Rhinolophus ferrumequinum: one gene and its partner. The protein of the gene in region 1 purifies or fractionates together with the protein of each later gene. This does not show direct contact. Links are inferred from orthologs where the notes say so. Each region holds a gene or a part of one and is shown in the gene's direction. Other genes may lie near its edges. The genes, in order: SLC16A11 and EMB.

What was found.
Region 2: the proteins of SLC16A11 (region 1) and EMB purify together in Homo sapiens (co-immunoprecipitation; 3 studies listed by BioGRID and IntAct, counting the BioPlex papers as one, with this or other methods). This does not show direct contact. The link is inferred for Rhinolophus ferrumequinum from reciprocal best matches to the Homo sapiens genes SLC16A11 and EMB.

The regions. Positions count from the first base shown.
Region 1 is NC_046304.1:12,268,092-12,277,700, forward strand, and holds the start of SLC16A11 (monocarboxylate transporter 11), read left to right. Parts: upstream 1-5,375; 5' UTR 5,376-5,518; coding exon of another isoform or gene 5,519-5,549; intron 5,550-7,177; exon of another isoform or gene 7,178-7,282; intron 7,283-7,402; exon of another isoform or gene 7,403-7,663; intron 7,664-7,889; exon of another isoform or gene 7,890-7,908; 5' UTR 7,909-7,914; coding exon 7,915-8,119; intron 8,120-8,382; coding exon 8,383-8,526; intron 8,527-8,674; exon of another isoform or gene 8,675-8,684; coding exon 8,685-9,452; intron 9,453-9,539; coding exon 9,540-9,609. UniProt on the Homo sapiens protein: Proton-linked monocarboxylate transporter. It catalyzes the transport of pyruvate across the plasma membrane.
Region 2 is NC_046290.1:30,705,016-30,714,389, reverse strand, and holds the start of EMB (embigin), read left to right. Parts: upstream 1-5,554; 5' UTR 5,555-5,644; coding exon 5,645-5,987; intron 5,988-9,374. UniProt on the Homo sapiens protein: Plays a role in the outgrowth of motoneurons and in the formation of neuromuscular junctions.

The DNA.
Region 1 (9,609 bases):
TTGAATTTTGGAGGAAAAAAAAATCACTCTGCTACAGTGAAGAGAATGGATTGCTGGGGGCAGCTGGAGGCAAGGAGACCAGTTAGGATGTGAGTGTGGACATCTAGACTGGGGGAGAAGAGAAATGTATTTATTTATTGCTGCTATATTGATGCCCACTTCATGCCATTCATTATGTCAGGTCTTTTATACAGAGTATAGGTGTTTCTTCCTGTTGCTTGTGTGTATGTGTGGTGGAGGAGGGAGAAGTTTGTGGTAAAAATCAGAGGGAACAAATCTCATTAATAGTAACAAGGAAAAAGTCCACAGCAGAGTCTGGAGGAATGGACTCCTCCAGAGTAATCTTTGGTTTTCCAACCTCTCCAAGTCCCTTCAGGCACCAATGGGGAATCCATAGATGGCTTAGCACTTTTGGTTTCCTATTCAACACTGATTCTTTTTTTCTCCTTCCTTACTGACCCGAAATGGTATTTAGGAACCCACTCTACTCCATATAGTCATGTGCTTTAGGTGAATCTGGCTCTAGCACAGGCCCAGAGGTAGGACCTGATGACAGTAAGTCGGTCATGGTGGTGCCATCCCCCTTGTCAGTGGCTGGCTTAATCATGGACAAGGGATGTAAACTTGGCCATGGATGAAGAGCTATCTGCTGGGGACTGTAGGCAAAGATTTCCTGACTGCCACGGGGGATACACTGAAAGCGATGTGCTCATTTTCTTCTGAACATTGTTATACTTGAATGTCATATGTGAAACTGCTACAGCCATGTTGCAACCTTAAGAACAGGCCTGGACAACTCTGCCTTACACGTTAGATCTGCAGAATGTCCAATTTACATTCCTACAGCTTCAGGACACCTGTTATCTGACTGCCTGTCTCCTCCCACCTTGGCTTCTGATCCTGGTTGACACTACTCAGCTGGGAAGTAGATTCTGGCCCCCCAGGGCCACTGTAACCCCATGGCAGATCTAGGCGTTGTCAACGGAGTCCCCTAAGAGGCTGAGTCCTTTCAATCAGATGTGAGGTCCCAGGCTGGGATTGGGAAGGCTGACAGAGGGCCCAGAAAATTCAGAGGTAGCTAAGTTTGGGTACCATGTTTCCCCAAAAATAAGACCTAGCCAGACAATCAGCTCTAATGTGTCTTTTGGAGCAAAAATTAATATAATACCCAGTCTTATTTTACTATTAAGACTGGGTATAATATAATATAATACCAGGACTTATATTAATTTTTGCTCCAAAAGACGCATTAGAGCTGATTGTCTGGCTAGGTCTTACTTTCAGGGAAACAGGATACTACAGGGAGGAAATGATAGACATCACCTCTTGTCCCTCTGGTGTGACTGTCCCCTCTCAAATCAAGACATGAGGAGCACAGGGAACTGGAGTAAAGATGGGACTGAAGTAGAGATGAAGGGGTGACTACCTGGGGCTAGAAAACGGGAGGCAGTGAAATGGAAGGGAAATTCCATTTGTACAGTGCCTACCACGTGCCTAGAGTTGAACTGTTCCTTTCCAAGCCTTATTTAGCAGAAGTCTCACCAACAATCTAGATGCCTAGAAAATATTGGAGTTAAGAATCACGAACTTTGCTTTTAACAATTCCCCATGTTTGCTTTTGCAGGATGCATGCACATGGCTGTCTCGATTCAAATTCCATTCCTATCCTGACAACCGGTTTTTAGTGGATGTTTGGACTGCCTTGCACCTGAAATTCTTCCTCCGTTTGAGAAATTTATTATTATTATCATTATCATCATCATCATTATTATTACTATTATTCTACTTTATTGAGGTATGGTTGACATGTCCCACCTTATTTTTTTTGGTGGGAGGCAGAACCTATCTACCTGTAGACACTGAAAAGACCAAGTGTTTACTTTCTTGGTGTCCCTTCCAGCCACAATGAGAGCACATGACGAAGGTTCAGGGTCAATATTGACCCTGGACTTGGATTTAGAGCTAGTGGTGAATAAAGTAGAGAACACTTCCGAGCAGCAACAGTTTCTAGGCATTGTGGACGCAGAGAGCCAGCAGCGACATCTAGTGTCCAATGGTGACAGCAGCAGCCTTGGCGACCCATTTAGCCCTGTGGCAGTCTGTGTTCTGCCAAACTGAGTTCTTTAGCCTTCTTGATAATTCTGAGATCTACCCAGTATATCCTGTAATCAATCATTTCGCTCCTTAAATAACTTGGAGCGAGTGCCTATGATTTACAGCTAAGAACTTTGACATAGATGTTGGCCGAAGTCCCAGAATCAGAAAATGCCAGATAAGACACATTTGGAGATTTAGACACACAGACCAGGCTCAAACATATTAGCTGGGTGCTTCCTCCACCATCCTGATGCCCCTCCTGAAGACTGGGTAGTCCAGAGGCTCCAGACCTTTAGCACTTAAGGGGGCTAGGGAGGTGGGGGATGGTGACGGAGGGAAGGCATGGGGACTGGATTGGAAGATGCACTGGAAATGGACTTGGTAGAGGGGATGAGAGAAGTAATGTGGGGTAGGACTCCCACCCCATCCCAACCCATTCCAGGTCTTGTCTGAAACCTAGCTCAGCCTCAGCTCTGTCTTCATCAGTGCCAACTTCTACCTGACCATGGCCTCCCCCAGCCCTAGACTCAGCAGACTCCTTCCCCAGTCCCAGTCCCAACACAAAGTTCAGGAGACTCATGTCAGTTCTCCATTCCTGTGTAGATGTGTTCTCTGCACATAATGAGCCCCACTTGCCTGAGTGAGTGCACTTACCCTCCTGCTTCACTCCCCACTCCCAGTGCAGAGCACCTCAACAGATGTGCTCCCCTGGCCCTGAACCACAAACCCTGACCTTGTGATCTCCTCCTTTCCCGGGTCAAGTTCTTCTTCCACTTTTCTAGACCCTGGGTCTGGGCTTTGAGGTGTATGCTGACTTCCCATGGCCTGGTCTCTCGGTGAGCTAGGGAAGGAAAGGATTCTGGTGGGTGAGCGGTGAGAGGCAGCTCTATTAGGCACTTAGAAGCCCAAGATCAGCTGGGCCAAACACCACAAAGTCTCATATTTTTGTGTACCTCAAAGAGAGCCAGGTTTCTTGTGGGTAATACCATCTGTCCTTGCCTGTCCCCTTCCCTCCCATCCACCTTCTATAGAGGGAGCCCCCAGTGGGTGTACCCAAGGAATGGCTAGGCTCAGTTCAAGGCTTCCCCAAGGTTGCAGACCCTTGAGGCCCCCAAAACCTCTCACAGGGGCTCCCATGAGAAAACTCCAGAGCAGTTTCAGAGTCCACAAATACAGACACACTCCCAGATCCTGTAGTCCCCAAAGCAAATTACGTACAGACCTTGACCCTCTCTTTTGATCTCCCTAAAGACTCGACCTGGCTCAGTATCTACTTCTGGGACTTTCTCCATGTGGGCAAGCATTATCAGTTTGGTCCATCAACAACCCCTTCGTGTGATGGTACCACATCCTGTTGAGTCCCTTGTTCAGTGTTTCTCTCATTCAGTCATTCGTCATTCACATTTGGCACCTTTGGGTGTCAAAGATCCAGAAACCAAGAATGCAAGGTTCCACCTCCAGGGCAATATAGGGGAAAGATAAAAATGAATGATATCACCGCAGTCTGAGAAGTGCTCTCACGAGGGTTAATTAGGCAAAGGGGGAGGTATCTAATGCAGATTAGGAGTTGTTCAGAGGCCTTCCGAGAGGAAAACCTGCTGCACCATCAGTGGAGAAGACTTGGGGAGAAAAACATAAATAATGTATCTAGTCATATAAAACATTATTTTCCTATGAAAATATGCACCAGACTATGAAGGAGGATGCAAAATTCCACATGAATTTTCAATGTAAAACAAGATATTTCCGAGAAACTTCCCACACATGAACGGTCTATAACCCCAGACTCTCCTGACGCCTTAACTGTGGTATAAGTCCTCTTTCCTCTGTGTTCAGCTTCCAGTATTAGTGAATATTCGTGAAAGCTATGTCCAAGTGAATCAGTCTTTGGGAAAACATCTACATTCCTTAACCTGACCTTTAAGACCTTTCATGATGGGACCTTCTGCCCCTACATTGTTCTTCTCTACCCTCACTGTTCTCCATACAGCAGCTATTTACAGCGCTCCAAACAATAAACAATGTGCCAAGCTGGTTTATCCCTTTGTGATTTTTCCACAGTCTGTTCCCTTTGCCTGGAATGCCCTTGCCCACACATCCATCTGGCAAACTCCTACTCATCCTTCAAGACCCAGCTCAAAGAGCTCCTCTTCTGTGAAGCCTTCCCAGCAAGCCCTAGCAGAATGAGTCAGTTCCTCCCATGCACTACTCTATGGTGCGCGTCCCTCTCCTTGTGCTGAGATTTTTTTATTTCACTTTTTCTCTACTAATGATTTTGGGAGCTTGGAGGGGAGAGACTGTATCATTTATAATTTTATCCCTAGCCCTAAGCATAGCATCTGGCATAGTAGGTGTCTATGTTTTGTTTGAAGGAGTGAATGAACAAAACTTAATTTGATTCCTTTCTTCTCTTTTGTTTTTAGAGTCAAGATAGAGAGACCAGGATTTTCTTATGAACTCTGGAAAATGCTAAGAAAATCACTCACCACATAAAAAAAAAAAAATCCCATTTAACCTTTTTGTGGCTATTCACATCTTACAACCCGTGTAGTTCTACTGAGAGCTCAGCAGACCAATGTGGATCTTTGACCTTGAGACATTAGTAGATGTAGACAAGTAGTGAAAGCACAGTGATGCTGAAAGGTCTAGTCAGATTTCTCCAAGTCACAACAATAGCAGCAATAGGGGCTGACACACATCATGTTCCAGGCACTGTTTTATGTTCCTTACTCATACATGTATACACAGCAACTCATTTAATCCTTATTAAAAACCCTATCAGGTAGCTACTATTATTATCCCCATTTTAGAGATGAGGAAACTGAGCCACAGAGGGATTGAAAAATTTGCTCACAATAATACAGCTAATAAGTGGCAGAGATGAGATTCAAACCCAGGAAGTCTAGCTTGGGAATCCATTCTCCCAATTTCAACTTTATATAAACTCCATGAGCAGAAGACATATAGTGATGGCAATTTTGGCTAAGAATATAGGGAACTTGAGGTAGAAGAGAAATGTTCTCTTTCACAACCAATCACCCCAGTCCCAGGCTCTGGACACCCTCTGGGTTCGCAAGTATCCTTTAAAGGTGCTCAGCATAACTATACAACTCCCAGACCTAGAGGGCCCCTGTCTCCTCTTTGGTTTGCATTTCTACTTCACCACAGAGAGGGAGTAATTTGTTTCAGTTGGCTTTATTCAACTTGGGACAGAGTCCTCGCCACCCATCTCAGGAGTGGGCTCAGTGCCCTTGTCGGTGGCTGAGGATCTGCTAGCTCCACCTCCCAGGTGCCTTTTACAACAGCAACCCAGGCTAGAGAAACCAGTGAGACCACTTTCCTACGATATACGTGGCAGGATCTTAAACCTTCGTGGATTCCTGTGCCCTACCCAGGACATTTCAAGCAGAGGGCATGACATATGCAAGAATTCAGGAGTGAGAAAAAGACAGGTATGTCCATGGAGCAGGTAAGACTATGGCTGGTGGAAGGGTATATGAAAGAGGAGGGAAATGGAATAGAAATGTATCCTGGGTCTACTTTTAGTTGTGAAAGGCTTTACACCCAAAGTTCAAAGTCAGATAATTAAGTTCGCGAACTTATTCTAGAAAAACTGCTACATACCTCATTGCTGAATATCACTACAGTCACCTTTGAAGTACTCCCCTTGGGAAGCTACGCACCGATGCCAGCGCCTAGTCCACCCTTCAAAGCAATTTTGGAACTCTTTTTCTGGAATGGCCATTAGAGCCGTCGTCACATTACCATTGATGTTTTGAATGTCATCAAAATGTCTTCCTTTTAATATTTCCCTTGTCTTCAGGTAAAGAAAGAAGTCATTTGGGGTCAGATCAGGTGAGTAGGGAAGGTGTTCCAATAGTTATTTGTTTACTGGTTAAAAACTCCCTCACAGACAGTGCTGTGTAAGATGGTGCATTGTCGTAATGTGAGAGCCATGAATTATTGGCAAAAAGTTTGTCACGTAGCCTTTTTAGCACTTCCAAATAGTAAACTTGGTAAACTGTTTGTTCAGTTGGTACAAATTCATAATGAACAATTCCTCTGATATCAAAAAAGGTTAGCAACATCATTGCAACAAGTTCACAAACTTAATTGTCAGACCTCATAAATTGAGTTTTTCTCCCCCTCCTATTGTCTGTAGAGAGTCATCAAGGTCAGGCTGTGTTTGTTAGGTTTACAGTTTCACTACTTAAGCTGTTGTTTTCTTTACTTGCAGATACTTCTCAACAATTGGGAAGTACTGCCATCATGTGGCTTTTGGGTGATACATGCTCCAAACTGTAAATAGCTGAATTTTCTGATATTGTTTCATAATTAAAGAACACATCTCTTGATTCAAATAGCTGAAGTAAAACAATGGTAACCTTAATCCTAATGTAAAAAGGATAATTTTTATGAAGTTTTTCAAGAAATCAGTACCTGGGTTCAATTCTTGGATTTCTTACTTTGTTTTTAAAATTCTAATCGCTCAATCTTTAGCGATTCCAATCACAAGGATCCTTTCTTTTCCCAGTAAACCCTATCTTAGAATTATAAACTCTTTGGCTCTGAAAAGGCTCTGCCATTTGCAGGCCAATTTGGAATCAAACTGTCTCCAGGCCATCATGTCCTTTCACTGTGGCAAATTCTGTTTCAGTCGTAGGTCTGTTCTGCTTGTATGGTCCCACAGTTGGACAGACCCAAATTCAAATATTTTCACCATTTTTTAGCTGGGTGATTTTGGGCAAGTCACCTAACCTCTGGAAGCTTCAGTTACTTCATCTGTAAAATGAGGATGGCACCATCATCACAGGGTTATTGTGAGGATGAAGAGAGGACATGTGTAAAAATCTCCTGGCACATCACAGCCCCTCATACATAATAAGGGAGTCCTCTTCCTTCACCTGAATCTTTGAGGGCATATTCTTGTAGAGCGTGCAATAAGCACTCAGTGGAGGTCTGTAATTTGATAGCCAAGATTTACCTGGTCTTCCAGCTACGTTTCCTGAGAACAAAACTACTCATTGCCTCAGGCGTTGGGGGACCCCCCCCTCCCCGTTTCAGTGCGTTGCCTACCAACCTTGAGCTTGCTGGGGATTGCAATCCACGCGTCTTCTCCGTGTGCAGCAGGCGGCAGATGCGTGGCCATGGGCAGGGTGGCATTCTTTCCTTGCTTTTTCGGGGGCTGGTGTGTGTGTGTGTGTGTGTGTGTGTGTGTGTGTAATTTAATTTCCGTGAGGGGGGGAGGGGAGAGAGAGAGAGAGAGAGAGAGAGAGAGAGAGAGAGAGAGAGAGAGATTTAATCCCCGTGGGACTCAGCTTCTGGCCTCACCCTGGGCTCCGCGGATTGGCTGTCTCAACTCGCCTCCGCCCTGTGTACCACCGCGTCCCAGGTGGCTCAGGCCCCCAGCAGTGATCTGTTTACCGAGAGAGCCCAGCCAAGTTGGGCTCCCTCTCTGCACACACTCCCCTCTGTGGACCGGCCCGCACAGGAAACGGGGAGAAATCAGGCAGAGCCATTCCTCGCCCTTTCCCTCCCCTCATCGCCCGGAGAGATCGGGTAAGGGGTAAGGAGTGTGGCGGGAAGGGCAGTCCCAAGCCAGGATGTCACCCAGTCCCGGTACCTCACTCGTACCCAGGAATTCTATGCCCAGGCCCAGCTCCTGCTCCCTCCACCCCCGCCCTTTTGTGCTCAGGGTGACGAGCCCTCCCTGGGCAAGCAGCCCCCAGAGGCTGGGTGTCAGGGATGCCAGGTCCCTAGAAGAGGCACAGACATGGAGATTTCATTCACAGGTGTTCCCTCCTCCCCCAGACAGCGATGATGACCCCCAAGCTGGCCGGACCTCCAGACGGGGGCTGGGGCTGGGTGGTGGCGGCCGCAGCCTTCGTGGTGAATGGGCTCTCCTACGGGTTGTTGCGTTCCCTGGGCCTTGCCCTCCCTGACCTCGCGGAGCACTTTGACCGAACTGCTCAGGACACTGCGTGGGTCAGCGCCCTGGCCCTAGCCGTGCAGCAGGCAGCCAGTGAGGGGGGACCCCGAGGTGGGAGGCAGGAATGGGGTGGAGGAGTCGTTGAGTGTAGTGGTGGGGGACCCACCTGATTACCAGATAACCTGAGAAAGGGCGACGGGTGGAACGAAATTCTAGAAGAGAGGGTCATGAGGTTAAGGGGAGGAGCTGTTAGGCTAGGGGAAGAGTTTTAGGTCTAGGCAAACAGCCAATGAGAAGTGTTGAATCGAGTTTTGGGGCTCAGGGGCGTGTCTTCCGTTTACTCTGCCTCCTTCTAGGCCCAGTGGGCAGCGCACTGAGCACCCGCTGGGGAGCACGCCCGGTGGTGATGGTTGGGGGCATCCTTACCTCACTCGGCTTCATCTTCTCGGCTTTTGCCGGCAGTCTGCTACACCTCTACCTTGGCCTGGGCGTCCTTGCTGGTGAGGGGAGAGGATACCCGGGTCATTACGGGGTAATGGTGAAAATAGGAGCTGGTTGGGGGCTGGAGGCCAACCGGACAGCGGCCCCCTCCAAGGAGCAGGGCTGGGATTATTGGGGCAGGCATCCCTGGTCCTCACCCCATCTTACCCATTCACAGGCTCCGGCTGGGCCCTGGTGTTTGCCCCTGCCGTCGGGACCCTCTCCCGTTACTTCTCCCGCCGTCGAGTCTTGGCTGTGGGGCTGGCCCTCACGGGCAGCGGGGCCTCCTCGCTGCTCCTGGCCCCCGCCTTGCAGCTCCTCCTGCATACTGTCGGCTGGCGGGGGGCCCTGCTCCTCCTTGGTGCCATTACCCTCCACCTCATTCCCTGTGGAGCCCTTCTGCGACCCCTAGCGCTTCCTGGCGACCCTCCAGCACCACCCCACGGACCCCTAGCTGCCCTCGGCCTAGATCTCTTCACTCGCCGCTCCTTCTTAGTTTTTGCTCTGGGCACAGCCATGGTGGGGGGTGGGTACTTCGTCCCCTATGTGCACTTGGCCCCTCACGCTTTAGACCAAGGCCTAGGGGGGTATGGAGCAGCGCTGGTGGTGGCGGTGGCGGCGGTGGCAGATGCAGGCGCCCGGCTGGTCTGCGGGTGGCTGGCGGACCAGGGCTGGGTGCCCCTCACACGGCTGCTGGCGGTGTTTGGGGCTCTGACAGGACTGGGGCTGCTGGCCGTGGGGCTGGTGCCGGTAGTGGGAAACAAGGAGGGCTGGGAGGGCTCTCTGCTGGCCACAGCTGGGGCCTACGGGCTGAGCGCCGGCGGTTACGCCCCACTGGTTTTCGGTGTGCTTCCGGGGCTAGTGGGCATCGAAGGTGTTGTACAGGCCACGGGGCTGGTGATGATGCTGATGAGCCTTGGGGGGCTTCTGGGCCCTCCCCTGTCAGGTAAGGACCTGAGCCACCATTTCACCTCGCCAACATCCTCTGCCCCTGGGATCTGAGGCCTCTAAATTCCTTTCCCCTTCCTCTCAGGCTTCCTAAGAGATGAGACAGGAGACTTCACTACCTCCTTCCTCGTGTGTGGCTCTTTGGTCCTCTCTGG
Region 2 (9,374 bases), on another chromosome or scaffold:
AACATCTATCAAAGTTGAAAACACAAATAGCTTTTGATGAAGCAATATTATTTTCCAGATTATAGTCACCATGTATACTTTTTTTCTGAACTACTAAAGAAACACACAATAATATTAAGTTTTGAATTCTTTGTAAATGGGAAAGGGCCAAACAATATAAATGTAGTCAATTGAGACCTGGTAAATACCTGGTTGAACATCCACAGAAAGGAATAATATTTAGCTGTTTAAAGGGGAAAGCTCTAAATGGAAGAAGGAGATATACTACAGAAGAAGAAAAGCTGGGTGTGGGACAGTGAGCACAGGATGCCGTCTTCCGTGTGGAAGGCACAGGTACCCAGAAACATTTTGCATAGATTTAGAATATCCCTGGAAGAAGGCAGCAATGGATACCCGTCATCCCTGGGAAGGGAGGGTGGGTGGGGGACACTCCAGGAGATGGTTACTTTTCAAAGAATATCCATTTGTAGCTTTTGAGTTTCATTCTTTCATTCTTCAATGGTGTGCTGGGGCACATAGGATGCAAATGGAAACCAGGCACTGTTTCAGCATTTAGGAAACTAAACAATGGAAATAAAACAGATGATTATAGCATCATCCACAAAAAATTGGGATAAGAGGGTACAGAAGATGTGTGGGAGCCCGAGAAGAAGTTCTTAAAGAGGGATAATCAGAGAATTTTCTGGAGAAAAGGGCACACAGAAATTCAAGTGAGGATTAGGCAGTAGAGCTATAGGCAATACTATTCCAAAAGTCAACAGAAAAAAAGGGCAGGGCAGGTCAGAGGAGGAGAGGGGAGAGTAAAAGAGGTTGCCAAATTGGAGAGGGGTTGGTAGGTGGGTGAAAAAGGTGAAAGGATTAAGAAGTATAAATTAGTAGTTACAAAATAATCATGGAGATGTAAAGTACAGCATAGGGAATATAGTCAATAATACTGTAACAACTACATATGATGCCAGGTGGGTACTAGGCTTACCAGGGGGTCACTTTGCAAATTATATAAATGTCTAACCACCATGCTATACACCTGAAACTAATATAAAATAATTGCATTTCATCTGTAATTGAAAAATAAAAATAAATAGAAAAAATAATGAGACGTAAAGTCAATGATGCACACGGGACAGCTGACGTTGGGCATATTTCAAGTATTTATCATGAATAGAGTTCGGGTGAGGGAAGATGTTGAAAGGTAAGTTAGAGTTCAATAAGGGCCAGATCATAAAAAGCCTTAGATATTGCATATTATCCCCAAAGCAAAGGTGAGTTATTAAATGAGGACGTAGAAGGAGAATCTCGTATGGAAACAGTATAAGGCTTTTATTTAAATTAAGGCAAGGTACAGAAAGTTCTGGAAGACAGGAATGTCATCAGCTGCCATTTAACTGAAAATCCAAACAATAGTGCTGTCACTAATAGTTCTTGTTTTACACAGGTCAGGAGGTAGGTATCTCAGGGCTGGTGCAGCAGCTCGGTGATATCACCAAGAAGCCAGGTTTCTTTTTTCTTTCCTCCGCTACTTTTGGAAAAGTTAGCTGGTCACCACATAATTGCAGAGTTACCACTGCCAATCCTGGCATCAAGGCTATATTCAAGGTTGAAAGAAGGTGTCAAAAGGATGTGGCAAAAATCTTTCTCTGTTTAAGGATTTTGATCTCTTTGATGATCTCTTTGATGACAGGAGGCCTCCATAGATTTGCTATTTTTATCTCATTTAGCTATGCTTCCCCTTAGACATACCGTTGCTAAGGGGAGTGAGATTATACTCATTGCTTCAGACCAATTATGATTTATCTCCTGGGATGAGGTGGAGGACTTATATCCCTGAGATCAACGGATCTCCCTATGTTGGTAAATAATTTAATTAAAAATATATACATGTATATGTACACACTATATATGTGTGTATATACATGTACATGCATGTAAATACACAAATACACATGCATACACATATATATTTTCCTTCCAGAGGAGAGAAAATGACTATCAGTTGGTCACAGGTTCCAATTTAGAAATGATACAACCTTCTGAGTAGCTCTGGAACTTTTCATTTATCCTTTTTAGTATACAGAGGTGAGTAGAGTACTTTCTTCTTTTTCCTTCCATATCCACATCTTATCTTGTTCAAATATATATAATTATTTTCTTGTAGTGTGACTAGAATCAAATCTGATGTGCTCCCCTGCATCAGTTTTTTATTGCTACATAACAAATTCCCTACACAACAAACTTAGTTGTTTAACACAAATTTATTATTTCACAGATTCCGTGGGTCAGAAGTCCTGGGTACTCTATTCAGGTCTCACCAGGCTGCAATCAAGGTGTTGGCTGGGGCAGCAATCTCCTATAAGGATTTGGAGCTTTTTCCAAGCTCACTGGTTGTTGGCAGAATTCAATTCCTTGGGGTTGTAGGACTGACATGCTCAGCTCCTGGAGGTCGTTCCTCTCAACAGTCAGCTAGTTCACAATGTGACTGTTTCTTCCAGATAAGCATGAGGGCATCTTTCTCCCTAGGAATATTTCAGCCTGCTATAATGTCACCTACTCAAGGCAGTGACTACTCCATCATATTCACAAGCCTGCCCACCTTCAAGGGCAGCCAGGGCACACAACCAGGGGGACAGGAATCTTGGGGGCATTGCAGAATTTTAGCTACCATAACCTATGACTTGTGTTTGTACTTTTGGGTTTTTGTTTATTTTCTAGTAATCATCAGTAGCAAATTTTTGTCTTCATTTTTAGTACTTTACATATTACTGTCTGATATAATGCTTTCCTCCAATATTATTTAAGTAAAATATTATTTTTCAATAAGCAGTAACCTATATCCACATTCTCATTCTCACTTTCACACCTTCCCAGGAAACTGTCACACACTTTTCACTCAATGACAGCTTATATCTTAAAAGAAAAAACAATTATAGCATTATTTTATAAACATAAGTTTATAAAAAAAAAACGTTTTTCCTATACTAATTTTCTAATAAGTAAAAAGAGAGCACACTACAAGTACTATTTTAAGACACTGTAGAAAATATAAAGAATTATAGAATCATTTCCAGGTACTGAAAAGTTATAATGTAATTGGGAAAGAAGATGGAATCACGTAACAAGTTGAATACCAATAAAATATTTAAATGGAAATTCAAGCCAAGAATGAAGGCCAAGTCACAAGTCTGTAAATTATTAATTGTCAAATTAATCCTAGGGACAGTATGAGTTCAGAGGAGAGTGTTTGGGTTATTTCTTGTGGTGACTCAAACTACCCCAACATTTAGTGGCTTCAAACAACAGTGTTATTATACCTCACAACTGAGCGGGCCAAGAGTTCAAGCAGGGATCACCCAGGCAATTCTTCTGCTCCAAGGAGCATCACCTGGGATCATCAAGAGGTGCTTGGCTGGCCTTGTCTAAAGGCTCCAAGGAGCAGTAGGTGCTACAAATCTAGCACCTACTGCTCCTTGGCCGGCTGCTCTCTTTCCACATGGCATCTCATTGTTCTGGGTGCTCTATGTGGTTTGGGCTTCTTACAGAAATATGATAGTCATATTTCTTTCCTGGCAGTTGTCTTGTCAGAGTGAGGAGAAAGGAAGTGGGTGCTGTTGTGGTTTGGATTTGGAAACTCAGTGTTACTTCAGCAATATTCAATAGGTCACAGAGTCCACCCATCCTGAGGGGAGGAAACACAGGACTCTCCTTCCTCAGCACACCTCATGATGAGGAGAATGTCAAAGCATTTGTGACCACATTTAATTCACCATGAAGGGAAATTTCAGTTTGGAAAGATCAGAAAAAGCCATACAGGGAAGCTATTATATAAACTGGTTTGAAAGGATATGGAGCATTTGAAATGAGTGGGGATAAAGCTAAAACTGTCAATATCTACGTATAAATAGTATCGATGGGAAAAAGACTTTCAAGATGCTTAGTGAAACAAGAATTATATTTCTCAACTTATTCTGCTCTAACAACAAAAGTGATAGTGGGAATTAGCCTCAACTTGGGCAAGTCATTTTTTCCAGTTCATACGCAGACAAATTCAACTGGAAAGATAAATGAGGTCCTTTAAATGAGGTCAGCTTATTTGAAGAAAGGTGAATTTGAGAGTCAAGATTATACAGGACTAAATGGGGGAGATCTGTTACAGTTCAGTTTGTTTTGAGAAGTGCTTACCATTAAAACTCTCTGCAGGCATTGGCAAATGTTTGTAGTTTTTTCTGTGACACGATGCAGCACAGCAAACAGGTGTGATTTAGCAACCAATGATCAGGCAATTTGGGTTTAGCAAGTTGGGCCAAGGTCCTGAGGGCGCCGTCAGGTAAAATGTTTAGTTCTTCAAGGTCTCATAAGGCTTTGTTCAGAAAGGCTTACTCATTATAACCATAATTTTCTGACTGAGAAGAGGAGGCTTTTCTTAGATTTGCAGTTATAGATAAATAGCTCTCTAGATTAATTACTGTGTGTGTGTGTGTGTGAGTGCATGTGTGTGTGTTTCTTGCAGTACATGCAGCCTATTTTGAACACAGTGCTTGCAACGTGGTAGATATTTTATATGGGTTAATGAATTGTATTACTCACAGTCTCTCAACACTGATTGAAATAATCTACACTCTTTTCCATTGTCGAACCAGAAACAGTAGAATATCTTAGTAACGCATACCAAATAAAAAGTAAATATTCCTGCCTGAACTGAGTGTACCTCTCGTGCAGCACTTCAATTTTTAAAATTTGTATGTAACATTTGCTTTCAACCCTCTTTTTCTGGACACAGATATATTTCGAATTTATGAATATCTGAACCTGATGTTCAAAAAACAAAGAGAAAGAAAACAAAGCTCAGGATAAATAATCAAAAACAAAACAAACACCTTTTCAAGTGTTATAACTTCCTGGGGAATCATCAGATCTTACTCTTTTGTTATAATGGAGATTCTTCCTCCCTGCTCTGACAAAGCAATAGCTTTTAGTTGTTTTATTTTATTTGGTCAAGAGCACTGAAAACTCCAAGCTACAGCCTCACTGGGTAAGGAATAGCATTGTAAACAGTCTTCAAGTTCGACTCAGGTCCACAGGTTTGTGCAGTTTACATAGTAGTTATATTCGGTAGTTTTTGTTTGTTGAGCTCTAGGGGTTCCTCAAAACCTGTTAGGCCAAGAAACAAAAGGAAAAGAAAACACACACACTGTAGGGCCTTGGGACTCTGAAACCTTCATCTGGAGAGAACCGGTTAAGCCTTCAGAGACTGGAGGCGAGGGTGTGTGCAATTGGTACTTGGTACACAGAGCAAAGAAACATTAGTCCAGGATGTAACGCAAACTTGTCTCCTTAATAACCCAGGGGTGTCAGGGGAGGGGGTTGCGAAGAGTGTTCTCCTCTCATTTGTCCCATCAAAGTAAATAAGTGAACCCTGCTGCAAATGAACTGCAAAGGATAGTCTGCAGACATATAAACATTATATATATACGATATAGTTTCAACCCCTCCCACAGGAGATCAATTAGACAGCAAGTGCCCCGCGTCCTTAGCAGGCTCCGTCTCAGACCTGCCAGAGCCCAGATGGCAGAGGCTGGAGAGGATGCCGCTCGGATGTGGCCACCGCACATCCGGGCGCGCCTGCAGCGGACAGCGCGCTGCATAATTGATGGGGGGCCGGGCGCAGTTCTGGGTCGGCCTTGGACGCGGTGAGAGTGTCTCCAGGGAGCAGGGCAGGGCAGCCGGGCCCCTCCTACTTCGCCTTTTCTCGCGTGTCGCGTCCCTGGAACTGGCATCGGGCGCCGGGCCACCAGCGAGTATGCGCAGGGACTCCAGGCACCGACACTGGTTTGCCGAGGGAGCCGCCTGGGTGAGAAGAGCGGCGGACTCACCGACAACCATGCGCACCTTCCCTTGCCGGCGGGGACCCCCGGCGCCTCCGCCCCTGCCGCTGGTCCTCCTGTGCTTCCTGGCCGCTGCGCGCCCGAGCTTGGCGGACGGCCATGCCCCAGGTGTGACGGGTGCAGGACGGAGGAGGGGACTGAGGGCGGGAAGGAAGGGGCGCGGGAGGTGCGTCCCCGCTAGCGGAGGGCTGGCCGGCGCACCCAGGCGGGGGGTGTTGGTGAGAGGCGCGAGGATGCTGGCGGCCGCAGGTGGACCCGGGCGGCCGCCTTCTCCCTCCCACTGGCCACGCGTGGGTTACCTAAGCTGGAAGAGGGGACTGGGAGGCTCGTGTTCCTCCGCCCCGGCTCCTGAATTTGGAAACAACAGTGCCTGGGAGTTGGGAGTAGGGCAGTGTCAGGGTGCTCCTAAGGAGAGGGCGGTAGGGTGTGTGGGTGCCGGCGGGCGCTGGCCGCGAATGGCCTCTGCGAAAGGGGCAGTATTCCGAAAGCCATAGTCTCCAAGGCCGACGCTCTTCATCTGAATTGATAGTAAGGCTTAAATATCACCTCCTCTTCTTCCTAGCGGGTAGATTGGCTTTGGGAATGTGAAACAACAACTTAACAACGACAACCAAGCAACCAAACAAAGCCCACAACTCATTGGATTGTGTATCTTTTTTTACACCATGCTCTTTGACAATGAAGTTTTCCGTGGTGGTTGTTTCGTTAAAGACACTTTGAAAGTGGTATTTATGTGCAGAACATTATCAAAACCAAAAGCGAATTTGCCATTCTAGCTTCACGTGTTTATAGTTACTTTTTATGATGAAAGTGTTCCATCTAATCTACTTTCTAATACACATTCCTGCGTTATGAATTTCAGTGTTAGCAGCCAGTTAGGATAATACACCGCCTCACAAGTTGGCAAACATTGCCCATCAGTTAACTAAAATTGGGATATTGTTCTACACAAGGCTTTCAACTTTTCATAGGAATTCATTTTTATGAGTTTATAGCATGTGGATTCTTCATAATCTATAAAAGATGGAAAGATAATCAAAGATACGATTATTATTATTATTTTTTTAAATAAATGTCCTTTAAAAGGCCTCGTTCACAACTTGGACAAAACACTTTTGGGCTGCTTCAGTTTCCAAATTTCCTTGCTCCACATCTCTTCTTTATTCGTACCACTTAAAAGAATTGTCCAGCACAGTTTTCCTCTTCAAGCTATCCTTAATTCTTCTATCCCTGATTCACCCATCCTTCACCTCAAAATATTGCAGTTGTGAGGACCAATGCATTCTGGGTTAGTCCTAGAACGTTGGTTCTCTATTTGGCTGTATGTTAGAATTACTAGGGAGTTTAAAAATACTACCTGGATCCTGCCTTCAAAAATTCTGATTCAGTTGGCCTGGGATTCAGCCTGGACATCAAGAGATTTTTTAATTGCCTTGTTATTTTAATCATGTGATCCTATGCAGGTTGAAAACCTGTACTTTAAAATGATATGGCCTAGAGAATGCACCGTTGGGTGGATATTTATTCTGTTGGCATCAGAGTCAGGTTCAATTTGACATTCAGAGCAGACTTCTAGAGAGAAAGTAGGAAACAAGTAAAAGTGGAATAAATTAACAAAGTTGTAATTAAATGGGATGGTGTATGTATTATGGCAAATGTCTGTGTGTATATATATACACATATATATACATACACAGACATTGTATATATATATGTATATATGTGTGTGTGTGTGTGTGTGTGTGTGTGTGTGTATAAAAGTCCTGTCCTATTAGCTTCACTTAATATGGAATAATATGCCATATAAAAGGCATGAAGTTAGCATCCAATTTTAAGGGAGAATTAAAAATTGTCAGACAACTTCATCTTGTTTTATAGATTCTGTATTGATCTCTGTGAGACTCAATTTTCTCTTTGCTAAAGGACATTGTGAAGTTTACTGCTACTTTTTATCTAGATGCTTTGAACTTAGATACAGATGTTCTAGAAACCTAAGACTATTGGCCAAATTTTCATAAAAATGGTTATAATTTTTCACATTTACTATATAATTATGTGCATTGCCTACACACTGCATTATGCAGTTGATAGCCCTATGGGTTAGCTCTTATTGGCCCTGACTTTGAGATGAGGAAATTGGAATTTAGGGAGGTTAAATGATCGCCTAAGTACACATAATTAATTAAGCAGTAGAGCAGGAAATTTAGCATTGTTCAATCCAACCCCTGAGCCTGTCTTCTTAAACACAATACTCAGTTGTCTCCGAGATAATTGGATGTCTATGAAAGTTTGGAACCACTGACAAAGAGCGCAGTTGTGAAGCTAAATGCTTGATTTGAGCTGAAGGACATGCTGACACAGTGTGAGTCCTGCAATACAGTGAGGCACAGGACTCACCTTAACTCTTTCAGGCTGTTTCAGTTAAATAAGAATAGTAAAATATCTCTGTAAGGAGAAATATGACTTAAGTGGGAATATTCAAACATCTTTGCTTTTACTATTACGTGGAACAAATTGAGAGACTGGCTTGTGTTTATCTTTTGAAAAATGTTTGCAGGGGAGTCATTTGAAATGATCATTTTTAACTTCTAGAGTGACATGGCCTACATGCTTTATCAACCCCCATCCTTTCTATATGCCCCCCCACCCCAGAACAACTGCCTAATAAGAAATATTTATTGGAATAAATATTATTTGAGCACCTAGATGTGCCTGATATTGTGTCAGTCTATATCTAAGTAGAACTTCAGCAGTTTTTAACCTTTCAATGTGTTTAATATGTCCAAAGGAACAGGTTGACATAAGCCTATATTTAATAGGGTTGTATCTGATACATTAAAATAGTGATACTAAGTTTATCATATTTAAAATTACATTATGTAAACATTTTTAAAGATTTGGTTCAACTGTCTCTTCCTTTTCCTGGTCTTCTGTCCCCGCCTCTTGTCCCTTTTCTTTTCCTTCCCAGAATGAGGCCTATAGCCAGGAAGTGGGTATCCTCCTGTGTTGGAGGGTGGGAGCCAGAGGGGCCCAGATCAGGGAATTAGAAGCTGTGCCGGGTCAGGATGGTGTCCAGGAGGAGAGTAGCCCTGTTGTAGTGTTTGAGCCTGAGCACAGGGAGGTGGGCGCTCCTGCAGAAGACTGGCCTGGTGCTGGGCTTCAGAGCTCAGCAGAGTGACTAGGCCTTAAGCGCAGGGCCTGCAGGACATGTAGTGTCTAATGCTGATCAGGGGATGGAGGTAAAGCATGCAGGAGAGTAGACAGCGCAGGGTGTTGGAGCCTGAGTGAGCAAGACATCTTTGGGGTCAGGTGTGGCAGCGGCAAAGGGAGATGAGTTATATATAGGGTGTTTGCGCAATTCAATAAAGCTAGTAAGGATAATAAGATACAGGTTTTTCAGCAGTAAAGAAGAAAATAAAGGCGGACAACTAGAATGAACCTTGTGGTGTTAGATTGTAATTTGCAGCCTTAGTGTGAATTCATGACTTTAAATAT